Linked DNA regions of Saccharomyces cerevisiae S288C. The protein of the gene in region 2 interacts with the protein of the main gene of each other region in a biochemical or structural test. Each region holds a gene or a part of one and is shown on either strand. Other genes may lie near its edges.

The links. Proteins that work in one complex are often made in the same cells at the same time.
Region 1: the proteins of VPS74 (region 2) and SEC26 form a complex in vitro, tested with the Saccharomyces cerevisiae proteins (2 studies listed by BioGRID).
Region 3: the proteins of VPS74 (region 2) and KRE2 form a complex in vitro, tested with the Saccharomyces cerevisiae proteins (2 studies listed by BioGRID).

What each region holds. Positions count from the first base shown.
Region 1 is NC_001136.10:935,287-943,782, reverse strand, and holds SEC26 (coatomer subunit beta), read left to right. Parts: upstream 1-2,966; coding exon 2,967-5,888; downstream 5,889-8,496. Other genes in the region: SNU56 (Snu56p), read left to right, coding at 1-109; YDR239C (uncharacterized protein), read left to right, coding at 363-2,726; mitochondrial 54S ribosomal protein uL5m MRPL7, read right to left, coding at 6,290-7,168; FMN1 (riboflavin kinase), read left to right, coding at 7,891-8,496. UniProt on the Saccharomyces cerevisiae protein: The coatomer is a cytosolic protein complex that binds to dilysine motifs and reversibly associates with Golgi non-clathrin-coated vesicles, which further mediate biosynthetic protein transport from the ER, via the Golgi up to the trans Golgi network.
Region 2 is NC_001136.10:1,218,187-1,225,523, forward strand, and holds VPS74 (Vps74p), read right to left. Parts: upstream 3,964-7,337; coding exon 2,926-3,963; downstream 1-2,925. Other genes in the region: DXO1 (Dxo1p), read right to left, coding at 1-924; CTS2 (putative chitinase), read left to right, coding at 1,227-2,762; FRQ1 (frequenin), read left to right, coding at 4,573-5,145; PHO92 (mRNA-binding phosphate metabolism regulator), read right to left, coding at 5,288-6,208; WIP1 (Wip1p), read left to right, coding at 6,571-6,840; bifunctional AAA family ATPase chaperone/translocase BCS1, read right to left, coding at 6,980-7,337.
Region 3 is NC_001136.10:1,418,072-1,425,093, forward strand, and holds KRE2 (alpha-1,2-mannosyltransferase KRE2), read left to right. Parts: upstream 1-3,085; coding exon 3,086-4,414; downstream 4,415-7,022. Other genes in the region: DIG2 (Dig2p), read left to right, coding at 1-299; alkaline phosphatase PHO8, read right to left, coding at 479-2,179; U2-type spliceosomal complex subunit CWC21, read right to left, coding at 2,360-2,767; VPS52 (Vps52p), read left to right, coding at 4,692-6,617; VPS72 (Vps72p), read right to left, coding at 6,749-7,022. UniProt on the Saccharomyces cerevisiae protein: Mannosyltransferase that transfers an alpha-D-mannosyl residue from GDP-mannose into lipid-linked oligosaccharide, forming an alpha-(1->2)-D-mannosyl-D-mannose linkage. Required for the attachment of the third mannose residue of O-linked saccharides.

The DNA of each region.
Region 1 (8,496 bases), 280 kb from region 2:
TTTTGCTCAGGCGCCTCACCCAAGTACCATCCGCGTTATTAGTATTGGTGGAGTCGGTGAATATATAGTCAAAGCATTAGAGCTGATATTGAATATATTAGAACATTGAGTCGCATATAACAGTGGAGGTGTATAGATATATTTAAAAAACCTTTTGGTTATTTTTTCTCTTTCATGGCATTTGCTCCGTATGCAAAGCGATAGTTTAATTTAATGTTTTCTTTCAAATGTCATCGCGGATTCAAAGAGCGCACTATTATTATTTGGCAAAAGTTTAAGAGGGAAAATGTTGAAATAGCATGTTCTGCAAAGCGAATTACAGGTTTTGAAGGAGTCTACAGGTAAAGTCTAATAATACAGTGATGTTTGATGGCTTTAGCAACAATAAAGGTAAACGAAGGTCTTTTTTTCGGTTTGGTTCTGAAAGTAAAAACAATGACTCTGAAAAATCCGTTAGAAAGCCATCGGTGCCCTCTACAATAAAGAAATCAACAAATATCGCACGAACTTCGACGGCTGAAACTTCTGCCCCTGATATACCGCCAAGAAGTCCAAATAGGAATGCTCATAGCAGGAGCCATTCTATCCAGGCACCATTACAAAAGGAAACATTAAAGAATACTAATCCATTTTTGAATGCTGAGGATACCTTAGGAGATTCTCTTGAATTAACACAGTCCAAGGAAGCGTCAGGAAACGATCACAAAGGAATTGAATATTTACAAGAAAACAACATCATTGGGCAGAGAACCAACCCCTTCACAACAAGCGCAAATTCAAATGCACATTTCTCCAAGATAAAACGTTCGAGGCCTCCACCACCGCCTATGGACATGAAGTCAATAACAACGTCAATAAGCAACAATACTACTAAGGAAGAAATAGAGAGTAATAATGATTCTGAGCGGGATAGTATTGCAATCTCATCCACCCACAATCAACATAGGCGGCAGCGTTCAGAAGCAGAAAAGTTGGTAGATGATATTGAAAATTACATTAATGAACACAAGGTAAGTTCCGGTAGCTCACTATCCCTAGACACGTCTGAAAACTCAGATACTAAAGCATCGCAAGATAAGTTGCCAGTAGATGTCATGGAAGCTCCCATTTTGAGAAATGTCAGCGCGGAGAGTTCCTTAAGCTACGTAAAACCACTTATTGTGGATAATGAAGAAGTAAATAAAGCAAGTAACGGAAATTTAGTACAATCAGATCATCTAAAAGAATTTTCTTCGAATCTGGATGATGGGGATGATAAATTTTCCTTTAGTACATCGGCTAGTGGTAAATCCACCAAAAGCCTTCAGCAAGTTTCTAAAGACGAATCTAGTGGTTTTAAAGCTGCACATTTTGATTTTGCATATAAATCAAATGAGCACCTTGGGAGTGATGGAAGTATTGCAAGCGCCAGAAAGCCTCTGCGGATAACTAATGAGATTGATAGCGGTTCTTCCAACGAGGATGATGATGATGGTCTTCAGGAAAAAGGTTTTGTGGATAGTGAAAGTAAAGCATTTATAAATTACGCAAGTGATCAAGGCTCATCTATAAAAAATGACGTCTCAACACAAGAGCCTGAGTTACCAAGTCATCGTAGAATATTTAGGGTGGTTAATGAAGATCGCCCTAGTTTCTATTTAAATAGTGTAAACGATACGGGCAGTCTAACCGACAAGCATTCTTTTGACACTGCATCATCTGGTGAGTATGATGCCAAGTCAAACTTCTCTAGCCAGTCAGGACTTTCTATATCAAAAGGCTCTAAATCAACTGTTTTGGCTGCTCTTGACTCAAACGGAAACACAAAATCATCAAATAAAACATCCGAGTTAAACAGTTTAAACTCCATTTCAGAAAGTTTAGTGCCGGCTGCTCACTCGTTCAATGAACACACAGTTACTATCCCTGCAACGGTGGATTTACCAAATCCGGTACATGATGCCCCAAGCGAAAGATCTGTCAAATGTTCACCGTTAACATCTGTCGTATCGAACAAATCGGAAAAGTCCGTGCCTTTGGTTTCTAGTTACGTAGAAGAACTGCGACTAAAGTATTACAAGACTTCTAACTTTTTACAAGCGCCTCCTAACTTGCCGGTTGCTCTAAAACAAAAAAATAATTTGATTCAACCCAAGAATATTAAGGTCAAGTTGAGGACAAGTTCTAAGCAAATTGGTATCAAGCATGGTAAAGTTAAACAGAAATTACTGGCGTTGGAGACAAGAAATGAAGAATCAGATGGAACCGCTACAGGGCTGAAAAATAAAATCAATGTTGACCACACAAAGGAATTCCATAAATTGTTAGGGAAGGAAAATGAAACTGGCTCTATTTCAAAAAAAGAAGGCACTGACGCAGAACAAGCCGAAGACTACCTCAAGGACATACCCGGTGATGAAGCATATAACAGTGATGATATAATGGCGCCTTTACGAGAAAAAAGAGGGCAAAACGGTTCTGTTGATTCCGTGTCAAGATCTAACACGGTAGTCAGCTACTACACAAGGTCTCAGAACAGAATGAGAAGTGGAACACTGGATAATGATTACGTGAACAGACAAAAGCTTCCTACACATATCTCTCTTCAAGATTATCGTGATGCTAATGCTAGAAGTAATATATCGCGTCAGGACTCTGTCTCCACAACGAACTCTGATGTGGTAGACCTCAGCTATTCTCTGGGGCATGGCTTGCGTGTGGCAAACCCTGATTCAGACCCAGAATGATATCCTTCTCTGTAGTTTTGTAGATGTCATATATGTACGTTTATGGAACAGCATTTTAGAAAAGTATTACCCAGCTTATCACTTCGTTTTTTTTTTCTTTCCGTGTACTCGCTACACGTAGAAAGAAATCAGAAAACAACAGCTCGACAAGTGAAATTTGACGTTCATTAAGACTCAGTTAAGATTGCCTTGAGAATAAACAAAAGTAATCACAGTTAACTATTGAACAAGAGTGCACCTATGACTTCACTTTCTTCACAGCCAGCGTACACGTTGGTTTTCGATCCTTCTCCGAGTATGGAGACTTACTCGAGTACCGATTTTCAGAAAGCTCTTGAAAAGGGATCTGATGAACAAAAAATTGACACGATGAAATCAATTTTAGTTACAATGCTGGAAGGAAATCCAATGCCTGAATTGTTGATGCACATAATAAGATTTGTCATGCCTTCTAAAAATAAGGAATTAAAAAAGCTTTTGTACTTCTACTGGGAAATTGTTCCCAAACTAGCTGAAGATGGAAAATTGAGACATGAAATGATTCTTGTCTGTAATGCCATTCAACACGATTTGCAACATCCTAATGAATATATTAGAGGTAACACATTAAGGTTTTTAACGAAATTGAGAGAGGCCGAACTCTTAGAACAGATGGTTCCCTCTGTCTTAGCGTGCTTGGAATACCGTCATGCATATGTTCGTAAGTATGCAATCCTAGCAGTTTTCTCCATTTTCAAGGTCAGCGAACATTTACTTCCCGATGCTAAAGAAATCATCAATTCGTTCATAGTAGCTGAAACTGATCCAATATGTAAAAGAAATGCATTTATTGGGTTAGCTGAATTAGATCGTGAAAATGCCTTACACTATTTAGAGAACAATATTGCTGATATAGAAAACCTAGACCCTTTATTACAAGCTGTCTTTGTTCAATTTATCAGACAAGATGCAAACAGGACCCCTGCTTTGAAAGCCCAATATATCGAATTATTGATGGAACTGCTTTCGACCACGACTTCCGATGAAGTCATCTTCGAGACCGCATTAGCCCTAACTGTGTTGTCTGCCAATCCAAATGTCTTGGTTCCTGCGGTTAACAAATTGATTGACTTGGCCGTCAAGGTTTCTGATAATAACATTAAGTTAATTGTTCTAGACCGTATTCAAGACATCAATGCTAATAACGTAGGTGCTTTGGAAGAGTTAACCCTGGATATTTTGAGAGTCTTGAATGCAGAAGATTTAGACGTTCGTTCAAAGGCGCTTGATATTTCAATGGACTTGGCCACATCCAGAAATGCTGAAGATGTTGTTCAGCTTTTGAAGAAAGAGCTGCAAACAACCGTAAATAACCCAGATCAAGACAAGGCAATGCAGTACAGACAATTGTTAATAAAAACTATTCGTACCGTGGCTGTAAACTTTGTAGAAATGGCAGCAAGTGTTGTTTCGCTATTATTAGATTTCATCGGTGATTTAAACTCGGTTGCCGCCAGTGGTATCATTGCCTTTATCAAAGAAGTGATCGAAAAATACCCACAACTTAGAGCCAATATCCTTGAAAACATGGTTCAAACGCTAGACAAAGTGAGATCTGCTAAAGCTTACCGCGGTGCATTATGGATTATGGGTGAGTATGCTGAAGGAGAAAGTGAGATACAACATTGTTGGAAGCACATTCGTAACAGCGTAGGTGAAGTTCCTATCCTTCAATCAGAAATCAAAAAGTTAACACAAAACCAAGAACACACCGAAGAAAATGAGGTTGACGCTACCGCCAAGCCAACTGGTCCAGTTATTCTACCAGACGGTACGTATGCCACTGAAAGCGCTTTCGATGTGAAGACTTCTCAAAAGTCAGTTACCGATGAAGAACGTGATTCTAGACCTCCAATTCGCCGGTTTGTTTTAAGTGGTGATTTCTACACAGCTGCCATTCTGGCCAACACCATCATTAAACTTGTTTTAAAATTCGAAAACGTTTCCAAGAACAAAACTGTCATCAATGCTCTAAAGGCGGAAGCTTTACTAATTTTAGTTAGTATTGTAAGAGTGGGTCAAAGCTCTTTGGTGGAGAAAAAAATTGATGAAGATTCTTTAGAGAGAGTTATGACATCTATTTCTATTTTATTGGATGAAGTTAATCCTGAGGAAAAGAAGGAAGAAGTTAAACTTCTGGAGGTTGCATTCCTGGACACCACCAAATCCTCATTCAAGAGACAAATTGAAATTGCAAAGAAGAACAAGCATAAGAGAGCATTAAAAGACAGTTGCAAAAACATCGAACCAATTGATACGCCGATTTCTTTCAGGCAATTTGCTGGTGTGGATTCTACTAATGTGCAAAAAGATAGTATTGAAGAAGATTTACAACTGGCAATGAAAGGAGATGCAATCCACGCTACTAGCAGCTCTAGTATTTCGAAGCTGAAGAAGATAGTACCTTTATGTGGCTTTTCTGATCCAGTTTACGCCGAGGCTTGTATTACAAACAATCAATTTGACGTCGTATTAGATGTTCTTCTTGTTAATCAAACGAAAGAAACATTGAAAAACCTACATGTGCAATTTGCAACTCTTGGTGATTTGAAGATTATTGACACACCACAGAAGACCAACGTGATTCCTCATGGCTTCCACAAATTCACTGTTACTGTCAAAGTTTCCTCTGCTGACACAGGTGTCATTTTCGGTAATATTATTTATGATGGTGCGCATGGTGAAGATGCTCGTTATGTTATTTTAAACGACGTTCATGTTGACATTATGGATTATATCAAACCAGCCACTGCTGACGATGAACATTTCCGTACCATGTGGAATGCATTTGAGTGGGAGAACAAAATATCGGTCAAATCACAACTACCAACATTGCATGCTTATTTGAGAGAACTGGTCAAGGGAACTAATATGGGTATTCTAACACCATCAGAGTCGTTGGGAGAAGATGATTGTAGGTTCTTAAGTTGTAATCTGTATGCGAAGTCGTCCTTTGGTGAAGATGCCCTAGCCAACTTGTGTATCGAAAAGGATTCCAAAACCAATGATGTCATAGGTTATGTTCGTATCCGATCAAAGGGACAAGGTTTGGCTCTGTCCCTAGGTGACAGAGTGGCATTGATTGCTAAGAAGACCAATAAACTTGCTCTCACTCATGTTTGAACCACCCTGAGCTGATGCAATGTAAGTTATAATGTCAAAGGAGATAAGAATAAAACTTAAAAAATTCGAAAAGAAATAAAAAAATAAGGAAAATCTTTAAATAGATTTTAATTGCGTAGGAATCTTTGTTCTCATTTTTAAACAAGTATTCACTTTTATGTACATTTTCTTTCCTAAAAATCTTTATACAGAGTTGAGTTGTGAGTTGTGTAAGAGACGTCCAATTTTATAACAATTTGTAGACATCTCAGTGCCCCAAAGAGAACTATATGATTGAAAAATGGAGAGAGATAGTATCTTGTACAGTTTATATATTTACATGACGAATGGGAAATTATATATGCCCTTTGCCTTTCTGCCATAGAGCATGGCTAACTGGCCAGGACCATGAGATTGTATTCTTATTTCTCCTCTCCGAAAAATGGGAACTGGAACCCACTCAACAAAGTTCTCGCCTGGTAATCTAATTGAGCTGAGGTGTTTATATTTATGTGCATACCAAAAGTTTTAGGCCATGAGTCCTGGTTTGCATCGATTTCAGGGAAGAATTTGATATCTTCAGCCGTCAGGCCGAAACTAATCCCACCAAATCTGTTCCCAGACTGGTTGCTTATACCTTTATATTCTCTGATTCTTGGTAGGACGATTTCGGTCAATGTGCTTAAGAACTGAGACATTTCTTTTCCCTTTAGTTCGACTTTAGCTCCCATCTGATGACCTTTTCTCAGTTTCCAGGTTGGAACATCATTTTTGGAAAAAATTGGATGAGGTTTACATCCAGTAATTTGTTGTAATTGTAACGCAGCGGTGATAGCCAATAGCTGATTTTCTCTCGCTTCCCTAACAAAACAGTTTATTACAACACTTTCTAGCCCAGGAATGTTACTCCATTTGATAGGATGAATGTCAGGTAGTTGAGCTTTCGAACCTCGAGGATTTTTCGGTGGTCTGTTCAAGTGGTATGGCGAATCACCACTCCACGCTCTTTGTTTTAGACCCTTTACCACCGCAGCGTTATGTGAATAATTAATCAATAACAAATCAGATTGTAAAGTGTTAAGGTAATGGTCATTGAGTCTATCTGCATGAGTGTCTTTTGGTTTAAATCCAGGTGACCTAATATCACTTTTGTCATATTTCAATTCTGGAAATCTAGGGGATAACTTTGACTTATCAATTTTCACCAAGTGATGAACTGGTTTGACCAAAGAGCATGCAGATTTGGGCTTCACACAGGAGTGAGAGAATGATCTGTGAGTGACTAGTGAAAACCTTTGCATTTTGTTCGTGAATCTCGAGCCCTCTTCAAAGTGGTACAACTAAAAAAACAAAGGAGAGTATTTACACTATTTCCGGTCCTGTCTATTACTTTACAGATACCTCCCCAAATTAGTTATAAAATTCTAAACAGATGCTTTTCCTGTCTTTTTATTCTTCTGTTTTCGAAAGGCCCTTCGTAGATGATAGGTGATTTTGTCGTGTTCGCTTTTACCGTAAAGCGAATAAAGTAGTAGATGGGTAAAACTTGATGCGAAAATAGACAGTTTGCAAACAGCACAAAAGGAGCTCCGAAACAGCCTTTCTTCTTTTTCTAAATAGGTTATTAATGAAGAGTATGGGTAAGTCATTAAGGATTCACATTATGCAATCTTTCCCAGGGTCGGCACACCCACTTTCTAAAGAATCCGCACGCTTATGTTAGTTGGCAACGAATCACACTCAAGAGGTTTTACAATGAATACTGATCATGTGAAACATGATTAAGTTACTCTAATAGAGAATTGAATATCTTGATCACACTGCACTTCAGATGTTGCAATTGCGTTATAAGAGAGGATGTATTTGTAGTCCTTTATGCAGGAGGGTAATGCGTCAATTCAAATCGTTGCTTTAATACTCTGTCAGCATTGGTAACACTATTATTGGACGTACAAGACAATGTTCTAGAAAGTGGTAATTTGGACCCGTGAAGCGGTCACAGACACGTGTTGTTGAAGTGTTGATGTTTACGTGGACTATTTATGTTTCGTTATTGCTAGTGTTAGCAGGTACTTTCTTAATGAACCGAAATACGAATACAGATATAATTGATACTTTTAAACGAGAAGTCGATTTGCCAATACCTGCGCAACCAGGTCCACCATTCCCGCTTGTTACTGACTATTGTGACATTGTATGTGGATTTGGCCGCGGATCCGCCGAATTGGGTATTCCCACTGCCAATGTACCTATAAATCAGTTACCTAAAGGTATCAACGATTTGGATTTAGGGGTTTACTTTGGGTTTGCTCACATTAAAACTGTTGATGGTCAAGAACTATCGGTGGAAACAAGGCGGGATGGAAGAACTGTGGTTTATAATTACGGTCAATATTTAAGTGAAGCGAACGATGATTTGTCCGTACTTCCTATGGTACTTTCAGTTGGGAAAAATCCATTCTACGGAAATGATTTCAAAACCATGGAATTACATATTATACATGATTTTAAAAATGATTTTTATGGGGCCAGGGTCAAGTTCAATATTTTAGGTCATATCAGACCCGAATTGAACTACACTACTAAGGAAGCTCTGATCGAAGACATCAATATCGATATTAGGACTGCG
Region 2 (7,337 bases):
CTTTAGTTCTGTGTTTGTCTCCGAAACAGGATTGAATGCATCCATTTCGCAGCGAATTAAAAGACCAATTTCTTCTGAAAGTTTACTCTCTACAAGAGAAAAAATAGGACATTTAGAGCCAGTTAAATCAGCGACTTTGGAATTTTCGGTTACCCAATTTTCAAATTCAAATCCTGAATAGCAAATTTTCTTCATATTTGGATCATTTGAATAAATGCCCTCTTTGGACATTTGAGAATCTTTTTTTACATTTCTGCAAAATGAAAGAAGGCCCGCCCCCATATAAGTTACAATTAGTGACGTTTGTCTATTTCGCCTGTTAAAGAGATGCATAGTCAAATCTACGATATGATGTCTTGTGGTTACAACAGTAAATTTCTTGCCGATCTTAAAATCCTTACCAGGATTATCTAGTATCCAGTTCTCAATGTATGAAAAACACGGTGATACACTATCTAATTCGGATATTGTCATGGGAACGAACTCATCAATATTAGCAAATAAGTCATGGCCTAAATACGGGACTTTCCGCTTTTTTGCCTCAAGAAGCGAGCTTTCATACAATTCAGCAATACTTTCTTTCAAATTTGGTATAAGGTCTTTGCGTAGGATTGTATAAGCCCGGCCATTGGTAAACAGAGCTACTTCTTTACTTTCATGAAATATATCTCTTGGTGGTTTCGTCAAAAAATTGTGCATACCAGTATGCAGAAAAGACGTATATGGGATACATATAAGTTTCGGACGTCTCTTTCTATAATTGTCTCTCTGTTGTGAAGGCTTCCTTGACGAAGATGAATCAGAAGTAGTTTTCTCTTTGCATAATTTACTTTGGTGTCCTCTCTCGAGATTGGGCACAGTAAGCAAATTTATACCTTCTAAATCTTTGGCCAATCCAAGAACAGCATCTTGTTCAGTTGACATAACTGAGTTTGGCTAGAAAGAAAACTTTGACATAAAATCATCGATACCTACAACTGGCGCTGTAATGCAACAATGCCATTATAAAAGTAAAACATGCTGCGAAAATTGCGGAAAAACTGGAAAAATCAATAGTGGGGTAATCCCAGTTAGTTTGACACAATAATTTGGTGATTTTGGTGGAATAATCATTATTTGTGAGGATACACCAACGAAAAGAACCTTTTGTGGTAGTATGGTCCAACAATTGTATTTGCAGGTTGGTACTAACAACCTCTATAAGTAGACGATACAAGAGTGATCATATGGTAGGACACTCAGCTCAGCACAGATCAAAAAGCAGCTTAGTGTCTCACCTACTAATACTACTTATCTTTATAACGATTATTATTGAAATGTGTTTATATAATAAAATTTTTAAGAACCAAAGGTCGGATGATATTAGAGACAACTTTAACAATGGCGGACATCGAGTTCCCAGTAATGTCCAAAATCATGGAACCCATATAAGAGACGAAGCCTTTATATCAGGGGTCTATTATTCCAATTGGTCCCCATACAAACCGAGGTTTCATTTCCCTCACGACATAAACTTGAAGCAAGTGTCTCACATTTACTATGCATTTTTCAAAATAAACTCTAGAACTGGTGGTATAGAAAACACGGATAGTTGGTCTGATCTAGAAATGAATTTGTATAAATCGCTGGCAATTAAAAATTCAGAACTAATTAAAGAAAGCTCGAACAATAGTGTCCAAAACATCCTACCCTTAGGTTGCATTGGTGAACTATTTTATTTGAAGAATACCTGTTCTGATAAGAAATTTAAAGTTATCATGTCAATTGGGGGCTGGTCTGATAGTGAAAATTTCAAAATCATAATTAAAGATGATAAACTCTTACAAAATTTTGTTGATTCGTCGGTGGAAACAATGTTCAGATTAGGATTTGATGGCATTGATCTAGACTGGGAGTTCCCTGGTAACAATGAATCAGAACCTCGCGGATATCTGAAACTGGTCAGAATGCTGCGATTAAAACTAAACAGCCTCGAATCCCAAATATTTGGGAAACGTACTGAAGATCATTTTCAATTATCTATTGCGGCACCTGCATTCAAGGATAAATTATTTTACTTGCCAATCACAGAAATTGATCAATATGTTGACTACTGGAATATGATGACGTACGATTATTATGGCTCGTGGTCAGAAACAACAGGATATCACAGCAATCTATTCAGTGAGACGGAATTGAATGGAAACTTTGCCATGCATTATATGATCGATAGATTTGGCGTCAATTCTAGAAAATTAGTACTGGGAATGGCCGCCTACGGAAGAAGTTTCCATATCAAAGATAACAAATTCGAACCATTCAATCAAAATACTGTATTAATTAACAAAATTTTCAAAGGAGTGGGCAAGCCCACTAAAGAAATAGATAAAGCTGATGGCAAGGAGGGCATCTGGCCTTACAAAAATTTACCAAAGATTGGTACAATAGAACAATACGATCCAAAATATGTTTCAGCATATTGCTTTGATGAAAAAAATTCAATATTTATCAGTTATGATAACACTAAATCAGTCAAAACTAAGGCTGAATATGTGACACATAACAATTTAGGCGGAGGCTTTTGGTGGGAGTCATGTGGTGAAGCTTATGCAAATGAGTCAAGGTCGTTGATAAACGCATTTAATGAAGGCTTGCACTTTAATGTGTCATCAAAACCATCAATATTTCAAGATGTGAGAGTTAAAAAATATTACTTGAATAAATATGGCGATGGCGGATTTTTATCTCCATATTTAAAGCATTTGGATTCAAGAAAGCAATGAATACGAATGTGGGCGTATATAATAACAAAAAGTTTGGTCTATTTATTATCCACTCCGTATATGTATATACATATATACAAATTTCGTTTATTAATGTTAGAGGCTTATAAAAAAAAGCTTGACTTTTCCTTATGTTTCAAAGAGAGGATTTTTGTTGTTATTTTCATAATAGCATATCCATTCTTGAAAAGACTTCAAATACACCAGCAATAACTTCCAATTGTAAATCATGACCAGGATTGTTTTCTATCTCTTCTTTAACTTCCTTGTTTAAATTAACGGAGACACCTAACTCAGTTTCCTTTTCTAAATCAAATGGGTATTGCGAAAATTGTGCCATTATTTCTTCAGCTCTACTAATTGCCTTATCTCTCTTCTCATATTCCAACGTAGTCAGGACATTCTCCAATACGTTTGCCCCATATGATCCACATATTAAAGCTAAAGTTCTAATGATTTTGAAAGATGTTGTCTCCGGAAAATATTCATTGTAACTTAATTCCATGTTCCTCGATACGAGTACAGAAAGTACTCTGCGCTTAATGGCTTCTTTGCAGCTGGCGTCTGCAATGGGGTGTGTCGCCATGTCAAACAAAAAGAAATTTTTCATTTCTGTTCTCAATACACCTTTATCGACCAAACCTTTTGCCAATCTTTCCCTTACTTGTTTCAATTGATAGTTGATCTTTAAAAGGTTCCATGTTTCACCACTTAAAAGATCAATCCAGTTAGAAATTGACAAAGGTTCGTCGTTTTTCATCAATTGCAAAGTTTCATCCAGTAAAACTTCCCCAGTTTTGGAACTGTCAATAACTTCAATCAACCTTTCGGAAAGATCGAACCTTTTCCTGGCGGAATCATCTAAGATTCTGATTTTACCTCTTAACGCTAATTCTATAATTATACAACCACGCAAAGCATATGAAATACTATCATTCCAAAACGACAAATATCCTTCTCTATCTCTTAAGCCCATCAATAAGACTTCTTCCATCAACGTTAACGTAGGGATATTGATGTTGTCTCTCAATTTCGATTCTTCTGGGTCATATGCAATCTTTTTGTTTGTTCCATTGTCATCATCCCCGTCAACAGCAATATTTGCGATTTTGTCTCCTTTGGTATTGTTAGCAGAAGAATGAATGGAGGAAGTATCTCCAGAATCCGCCCTATTGACTCTACGACGTTGTAAAGTAGACATGATTTTTGCTTTGTATTTTTTTAGATAGTTTTTGTTTGAATTCTTTTACGTTATCAGATCAAAAGTTGTAATGAAAATATAGCCAACAATGAAACTGCTAATTTAGCTCTATTTGTTAGCGTGGAAATTTGAAATTTATTTTTAATCTATAAATGCAGCAGCCCAAACCGAAACAAAAGAATAAGTGAGTTGAACAGAGTAAGCAACGGGCCGATATAGAACTGAAAAAGTCAACGTACCCAGAAAGCAATTAACTGCGACACAAATAGATGTCAATGTCCAAAAAGGATAGATAAACAAGATTACGATCCAAGGCAGGGATCTAATTGTTTTTAGGTAAATGCGTACCCATTAGCCTCTTTTTTTCAGTAGTAGTTGACTGCTCAGGAAGTAAAAAAATGAGCCAGAATTGATCATTAAAAACGAAAAAAGGGTAACTCTTCGGTGTATTTTTTATTATTATACCATAGAGTACTGAAATAATGTTTAATTTGTCAACGATTGAACTGATGAACTAGGGATATTACCTCCTGTTTTATAATTGTTGCTAGTTTAAGAATCGGCGAGAGTTATTTTGTGCTTGAAAACTGTTTTTGATTCAAAAAAAAAATGGGAGCCAAGACGTCAAAGCTTTCCAAAGATGACCTGACATGTTTGAAACAATCCACCTATTTTGATAGAAGAGAAATCCAGCAATGGCATAAAGGATTTTTGAGGGATTGCCCTAGTGGCCAACTAGCTAGGGAAGATTTTGTTAAGATATACAAACAGTTTTTTCCATTTGGTTCTCCTGAAGATTTTGCTAATCACCTTTTTACAGTTTTTGATAAAGACAACAATGGATTCATACATTTTGAAGAGTTTATCACAGTTTTGAGTACAACGTCCAGAGGAACTTTGGAGGAAAAACTGAGCTGGGCTTTCGAACTTTATGATTTGAACCATGATGGATATATTACATTTGATGAAATGCTAACCATTGTGGCGAGTGTTTATAAAATGATGGGGTCTATGGTTACACTTAATGAGGATGAGGCAACGCCCGAAATGAGGGTAAAGAAGATCTTCAAGTTGATGGATAAGAACGAAGATGGTTACATTACGCTGGACGAATTCAGAGAAGGTTCTAAAGTCGATCCCTCTATTATTGGTGCCTTAAACCTTTACGATGGCTTAATATGAAAACTTTGTTTTTGCTTCTTATGGATTGGATGTTATAACAGTAGAAGTAATTTTAGGATAATTTTAAATAAAAATAATATTAAAAATAATAATAATACTAATAATAAATGAGAATAAAATGTTGATAAATGAGGGATAAGGTCTATTCATACGTCTCATCCAAGAAGGAGAAAATATCAGAATCTTGAGTTTTAAATAGATTAATTATTGAAATTCCAATCGAATATGGAATTTCTTGAGTATCTCTGGAATGTGTTATCGGTTTCATTTCATTGGATGGTATCAAAAACCTTTTTAACGATCTGTTATTTATATCACGCACGATCACCCATCTTACTTTAAAGGCTTTGCCATATTTTTGTTCATCTTCCCATATACTGGTGTCCAAATCCATTTTCAAATCCGATACCATTTCTGCAACGCCACAGAATCTTCCTGATGTGTTGATTGAAAAAAATAAAAACACTTTGGCTCCCGAATTAAGCTTTTTATATGCCTCAGATAGCCTTTTGTTGCCGAAATGAGTAGACGACCAAATTCCGTTGTAAAACGACCTTTTGACATGCTTCAAAGACGAGGACTTTATTACAAAAAATCTTGAGTTTTCTGGAATATTTAACCAAGGGGGAATAATTGCAGCACTTTTTCTTTTATTAATTTCATTGAAAGTTTGTTCTTTAGTTGACTGCTGCAAATACCTTGGTTTGGATAAATATTCCCTGTAATAATTATTATTGCTATTATCAGATTGGTTGTAGTCTCTAGAAAAGGAGAAATGCCGATTTAAATTTGAGCTTGTCAATGGAATACTATTAATCTGGTGTGTATAGTTTTCATGAGTGATCTCTTCTTTATTTTCTTTCTTGTTAATATCATTTAAAGCTGTGACATCGTTCTTTAGCTTTGGGTTTGTTTGTACTTCAATATGAGTTCTCTCCAAGGAATGGATCAACCCATCTAGTTCTCTTAAAGAGTCTTCAATTGTCCTGTCATTTCTCTTATTTTCTTTCCATTCAGAGTTGAAGTAAAAATTTGGGGGACCTGTAGACCAGATTTGATTCATTTTTAGAGCACAACGCAATACTTACGTCACACCAGCCGTAGACGATATCTTCCTTTCTTAACGAAATAGTAACAGAGGACACAATCTGAAAACTTCTTTTGCGATTCATAACCAACAGAAAATTTTGGAGGAAAACAATGTAGCTGTATAAATATATATATATATATATGTATGTATACTTATTTATTTATATATATATCACAAAAGGCTACCAAAAAGATTAGCCGCCGAGGTACATCGTGAGGAGTGATATTCTGGGGAAACGGGTAGCGATTTCGTGTCTATTTTCGGTCACCAAGTCAACGTTACTTACTGTCGTATAACCAAAGTACAACAATAGCAACAGTTCCTAACATTCTTCCATGGATACGGAAGCATTGGCCAATTATTTGCTACGGCAGCTTAGTTTAGATGCGGAGGAGAATAAGCTAGAAGATCTTCTCCAACGGCAAAATGAAGATCAAGAGTCTAGTCAAGAATATAACAAGAAATTATTATTGGCATGTGGATTTCAGGCCATTTTAAGAAAAATTCTGCTGGATGCTAGAACAAGGGCAACTGCAGAAGGTTTGAGGGAAGTATATCCTTATCATATTGAAGCTGCAACGCAGGCTTTTCTGGATAGTCAATGAAGGGGTATTTTTAAGCCTCTTTATCATATACTCTTTTGTTCGTAATAGCAAATAACTCGGTCTTATTAACGAGAAAAAGTTAAAGCATCTTCTGAATTTTTATTATATACAAGTTATGTAGTAAGGCGCCACTTAGCACCTAGAAAATATGATTAGCGTTCCGTAAGCTGGAGACCATTTTCAACGCATCGTGTGGTGCATCTTTATTCATAACGAAAAGTCCTTGCAACTGGGCGGTACTTACGGTGATATCCAATTCTTTAACACTATTTACAAACTTTTTGCATATATCAGTCTCACCTGGGTAAAATTTCATAAACATTTTTTCTACCTGGTATGGAGTTGCGTTACCAACGAAGACTTTGTAGTCAATACGACCTGGTCTCATTATAGCCGCGTCTAGCTTTTCAGGATGATTGGTAGTCATGAATGTAATAGTTTCTTCAGAAGATGTGACGCCATCCAGGGCATTCAGTAAACCGCTAAATGTTACGCTA
Region 3 (7,022 bases), 200 kb from region 2:
CACCACACTTGGAAGATTTGACATCGAGAAAAAGAACCTTTGTCTCCAAACACCACAACGGAGACCCAATCATAAGTAAGACTGATGAAGACATTGAATGCTCTGTCACGAAAAATTCATTAAGTGAGGGCGCTTCACTTAACGACGATGCCGATGATGACAACGACAAAGAAAGGATCATTATTGGAGAAATCTCTCTGTATGATGATGTTTTCAAATTTGAAGTTCGCGACGACAAAAATGACTATATGAAAGCATGTGAAACAATCTGGACTGAATGGCATAACTTGAAGAAATGACGAGATTTCACTTCTTCACGCTATAGAATGCACCTAAAACTCGCCTGCACTCCGAAACGAAATGCGATACAGTACGTGTCATGCGGTTAGTATATATACATATATATATATATATATATATTCAAATAAATTATAACGTATTAAATAATATGTGAAAAAAGAGGGAGAGTTAGATAGGATCAGTTGGTCAACTCATGGTAGTATTCGTCATAATGTTGTACTTCACTAGCTATTTCTGTAGCATCAAAATCTGATGTGTGTTTGGTGTCCCTAATCAAATCAGTGACTTCGTTCAGGTTCAATTCTAAAAAGTTTTCTAAGAACTGGCCAACTTCCGTATTTTCGTGATTGCCTTGTAAATTGTTCAAGACATATGACCATGTAGCTTTCTTATTGGCGTATGCATATATGTTGACGTCGACTGCGCTGTGACCATGCGTGGTCCAGCCAATTTGGGCCCTAAATGATACCATGTCATTCAGTTTGTCTTGGATAGCATTTGCGTTGTCATCCAAATGAATTAATGTTTCTAAATCGCTATCCGTGTAATCGTAAATACCCAAATCTTTTTCCAGGATCTCATGTTTGATGAAATTTTCTATTTTGCTGCTTGCGCCCTTATGCTCATGAACAAAATCTACTAGTTTTCTTTTCAAAAACTCACCTGAATGGGTGGCGTTGGCGAGCACCTGTGGATACCAGACATACTGAGGATAGCTAGCAGTGACTTGTCTTGAAGTGACTAAACCACCCGTTTCATGATCCGACGTAGAGACCAAAACAGTCTCCGTATCGGAATTTTCAGCAAACTCCAAAACGTATTGGAATGCTTCATCGAAAGCCAACACCTCCCTTACCTGCGAAGCTGGATCGTTTTGGTGACCAGCATGATCAATTCTGGAGCCTTCCACCATTAAGAAAAACCCATTAGAATCTTTGTCCTCATTGGAAGCTTTTTCCAAGGCACCCAAAGCCACCTTGACTTGTTCCTTAAGGGAAGGATACTCCTTTTCATCTCTGTCAATTTCAAAAGGAATGTCGTTATCTGCAAAGAGACCCAAGAAAGGTAAAGTAACGTTTTCACCGTGGCTTTTCAACAAAGAATCAAAATTTTTACGGTCACCCACGTACTGCCAGCCATTAGATTGAGCCTCATCGATTAAATCTCTTCCATCTTTTCTAGCACCGTGGTGACCATATGGAGAAGCCTTTTCGCCTTGAGGGTAGAAATGGCTCCTGCCGCCACCCATGAGTAAGTCTACTACTCTCCCCAGAGGATATTCGCCTAACTGGTGCGTAGCGATAAGATCTTCCTGCCATCTGTAATCAACATGTGAACTGAATGAAGCCGGAGTGGCATCTGTGATTCTTGTCGTAACAACAAGCCCAGTGAGATAACCTGCTAACTTAGCCGCCTCGAGCACTGTACCACAAGGTCTGTGATGCGGATCAACACCGATGGCCCCATTATAGCTCTTTAATGCACATGCAAATGCGGTGGCGCCCGCAGCTGAGTCAGTGACTAGTGAGTCCGAGGACCTTGTTCTCGAAGACCCGATAAAATGCTCGTCAAGTGTCAGGATGTCGTCTATAGGTAAATCATTAACATGCTGGTTGAATGATCTTGCCATGGACAAAGACGCAGGTCCCATCCCATCCGTCACGAAGAATATGACATTCTTCTTCTTGTGTGATGCAGAACGTAATGCAAAACTGCTTGGAAATGCCAGTTGCACTAAAACCAGCAACAAACCAATACAGACCACAGTGGATACTATTATCTTTGATCTCTTCGAGATCCGTCTCTTTTTAGGACGAGAGCTCGAGTCAGATCCAGGAACAAGACGTGTCTGTTCGCTTGGTAATGTGTGAGTCATCATGCTGCTAATGCGCGTTCAAATAATGTCCCGTATGCTGATATGTAAATGTTTATGTAGCCACTTGCTGGCAAAATGTGGAGCACGAAAAAATATAAACGTTTAGATACACTTCTTTCTTTATATACTAAAATCCCTTTACTTTTCCTCTACGCGCGAAGCTTATCGCTATCGTCAATGCTGCTATTCATGTCGATGCTGCTCTTCCGTTAGACGCGCCTTACGAGGGGTGTACAAAGAGGACATCCGCTGCTGTTCTTGCCACTCGTTCGTCAGTTTTGCCCTCAACGCTTCACATTTCTTGTCAATCTGCTCTTCCGAGAGCGTTTCTTCCTCCTCCAGTCGGTCCCGTAGCTCGCTAACTTGTACTTCAATCTCACGTTTCTCCATATGAGTCTCTATCTGTTTCTGCACAGCAAGAGGCCTGCTTGCCTTGTCATGGCTGGCCTTTTTGATCGCATTTTGTCGTTGTTGCCGCTGCTGTTGACTACCCTGTGGTCTGCGCCTATTGTTGCTAGCAAGTGATCGCTGCACGTGGCCCGACGTAGATGACCCTTTTGCCGACTTGAGCCCTATTCCGTTGTACGACATGACTGGACGGTGATGCAGTAGCTGTTAACCGTCGAATGGTATTGTGTAGAGCTCAAATTAGGATTACACAGATTATAATACCACACTTATAGTGCCATTCTTGAGGTCTTACTTGATTCTTCCTTGCCTTTACCCGCACGCTTAATATAATTTTTCCTTCTTATCTGCTACGCCTTCTTCTAGTAGGAAAAAAAAAAGAAATTTGGTGAAGAAACAGTCTGAAAAGGAGATAATTTGCGATTTAATTCGTTTATACATTTTATGAATCTATAATACTGGAAGTGATATCCATATTCGCAAGCAGTTCCACTCGAAAGCATGGCCCTCTTTCTCAGTAAGAGACTGTTGAGATTTACCGTCATTGCAGGTGCGGTTATTGTTCTCCTCCTAACATTGAATTCCAACAGTAGAACTCAGCAATATATTCCGAGTTCCATCTCCGCTGCATTTGATTTTACCTCAGGATCTATATCCCCTGAACAACAAGTCATCTCTGAGGAAAATGATGCTAAAAAATTAGAGCAAAGTGCTCTGAATTCAGAGGCAAGCGAAGACTCCGAAGCCATGGATGAAGAATCCAAGGCTCTGAAAGCTGCCGCTGAAAAGGCAGATGCCCCGATCGACACTAAAACAACCATGGATTATATCACTCCATCTTTTGCTAACAAAGCTGGTAAGCCAAAAGCTTGTTACGTCACTTTGGTGAGAAACAAGGAGTTGAAAGGTTTGCTAAGCTCCATTAAATATGTGGAAAACAAAATTAACAAGAAATTCCCATATCCTTGGGTTTTCCTAAACGATGAACCTTTTACTGAAGAATTCAAGGAAGCAGTCACCAAAGCTGTTTCTTCCGAAGTTAAGTTTGGTATTTTGCCCAAGGAACATTGGTCATATCCTGAATGGATTAATCAAACCAAGGCTGCTGAAATTCGTGCAGATGCTGCCACCAAATACATATACGGTGGCTCCGAATCTTATAGACACATGTGTCGTTACCAATCTGGGTTTTTCTGGAGACATGAATTATTAGAAGAGTACGATTGGTACTGGCGTGTGGAACCAGACATCAAGTTATACTGTGATATTAATTACGACGTTTTTAAGTGGATGCAAGAAAACGAAAAAGTTTACGGCTTTACCGTTTCTATTCATGAATATGAAGTGACGATCCCAACACTATGGCAAACGTCCATGGATTTCATCAAAAAGAACCCCGAATACTTAGATGAAAACAACCTGATGAGTTTTCTTTCGAACGATAATGGTAAAACATACAATCTGTGCCATTTCTGGTCAAACTTTGAAATTGCAAACTTGAATTTGTGGAGGTCACCAGCCTACAGAGAGTATTTTGACACTTTGGATCATCAAGGTGGATTTTTCTACGAAAGATGGGGCGATGCTCCCGTTCATTCTATTGCTGCTGCTTTGTTTTTGCCAAAGGATAAAATCCATTATTTTTCAGACATTGGTTACCATCATCCACCTTATGATAACTGCCCATTGGACAAGGAGGTCTATAACAGTAACAACTGTGAATGTGACCAAGGTAATGATTTCACTTTCCAAGGTTACTCTTGTGGTAAGGAATATTATGATGCTCAAGGGTTGGTAAAGCCAAAAAACTGGAAAAAATTCCGTGAGTAGAAATCTTGGAACATACTGTTTCTTTGTTTTGACTTTATACTTTCTATTTATATTTTATTTTTATAACTGGTTAAGTACACATAGGACTGCGTATCAAACATATAAGTGAGGCAATCCACATTTTTTTTAAAGATTCGAATATTTTTATTCTCATTAGCGTATTCCGAGAATAGTTCGAAAAAATATAAGGTATATCAAGAGTTTTTACAAGTGAGAGGAAAGAGGAATAAGCTATAAGCAACAAAAGCGTAAAAAAATTAGCTGAAGACATAGAACTATGGATGTTCTCAAAGAGGTGTTGTCACTAGACCAAGATAAATTTGACCAGCTGAAGGAAACGAGCCGAGATAAAACAAATGAAACGGATGATCCTTTTGAAAACTATTTGAAGGATTGTAAATTTAAAGCGCCTTCAAACAAAGATCAGTCACCATTTGCTAAACTTAAATCATTACAGGAAACTCATTCTAACAATGAAGCGGCTATTAATATAATTATTCCTCAATTGATTGATTACTTAACCGAATTCACTAATAGGTTATCAAATTACACACAAGATTTAGACTTCATTAAAAAAAAGTCCAATGAATTACAGTCATTGCTCGAATACAACTCCACTAAACTGGCACATATCTCTCCTATGGTTAATGATTTGATGATTCCTCCTGAACTCATTGATGACATCATTAAAGGGAAGATCAATGAAAGCTGGCAGGATAATATAACATTCATAGCAGATAAAGAAGAAATTTATAACAAGTATAGGTCCAATAATCTCGATCAAGACAACAAGGACGCAGAAAATTCAGCAATGCTAGCACCAAAGGATTTTGATAAGTTATGTCAACTCCTGGACATCCTAAAAAATGTTATTCTAGAAAGGTCGAAAAGACTTATTATTTCCAAAATCAAAACTTTGAGGAGTCATAACCCAGTACCATCGCAAAGGATACAAAACAAATTATTAAAAGTTCAAAAAATTTTCCCCTTCATAAGAGATAATAATCTCTCCTTAGCCCTTGAGTTAAGACAGGCATATTGTTACACAATGAAATGGTATTATAGAGAATACTTTTCTAGATATATCAGGTCATTGACTATTTTGCAATTTCAACAAATCGACTCGCAATTTGCATTGGGTAATGGCCTTTCTACAACTTCAGTGAGTGGGTTTAACAATTCACCATCATTGTTTTTCTCAAATTATCTAACTACATCCGCTTCAAATGCTTTCTATAATAAACTCCCTGTAACAGATGAGAAAATTGATAAATACTTTCAGATAAAGAAAAGATTGAACATTTTAACACAAGAAGACAATACGGTAATGGTATCCCAAATTGCAGAAAATAACACAACGAAAAACTACATTGAAATTGGATTTAAAAATTTAAACCTTGCAATTTTAGATAACTGTACGGTGGAGTACCATTTTTTAAAAGATTTCTTCGCTATGAATGGCGATAATTTTGAGGAAATTAATGGTTTATTGGAACAAATATTTCAACCAACTTTTGATGAAGCCACAACATACACTCAACAACTGATCCAATATAATTATGACATTTTTGGTGTATTAATAAGTATTCGTGTGGCCAATCAATTACAATTTGAATCAGAAAGGAGAGGAATACCGTCTATGTTTGATAGTTTCTTGAATGGTCAATTAATTCAATTATGGCCTCGATTTCAGCAATTGGTCGATTTTCAATGCGAGAGCTTACGAAAAGCGGCAATAACTACAAATGTGGCAAAATATGCCGGCAACTCAAGCACATCCAATAGTAGCCCTTTGACCTCACCTCATGAGTTAACTGTACAGTTCGGTAAATTTTTATCAAGCTTCTTGACGTTGGCAATAACACATAAGCAGTCCATAGACGAAAGATCTGAACCCTTATACAATTCCATCATTAGATTAAGAAATGATTTCGAAACAGTCATGACAAAGTGCAGTAAAAAGACGAAATCACCAGAAAGATTTCTGGCTACAAATTACATGTATTTATACAATAACCTACAGCAATTGCATCTACATTTAAATATAAATGACTCGGATGCACAAAACTACAATTTTGATTCTGCTGAAAATGTTGGTACGAAAGTTGCGAATGACGACGATAATGATTCAAGCGTACCACTAATAATCAGAGAGACCGAAAATCATTTCAAAACTTTAGTTGAAGCTTTCACCAGAAATTGATGAATGTAACGATTGTATAAGACATGGAGCGTATAAAGTATATTTTTATGTAAAATGATCTTTATGATTTCTTATTTTGTGTGGAATATAGTCAAATGTTTAACGACCTACCATTATATAGTCTGTCTCAATTAAAATCCTTCAGGAACACCTTTTGCAGGTCTTTGACTTAAATCAAGGTAAATACCGCCGTTTTTGAACCCAAACCACTTGAATCTCACTTGATCGTCACTATCCTCATTTGTCGTTTCATCACGCTTGATATCTGACCTTCCCTCCTCCTTAGAAATAGGATCTTGAATCCGCTGAATAATTTTATAAGCTTCCACATCAGAATAAGGCACACCAGTCCTTGGATCAAAGTACTGACATTCTTTATTTGTGATTAAACATTTTTTTCTTATA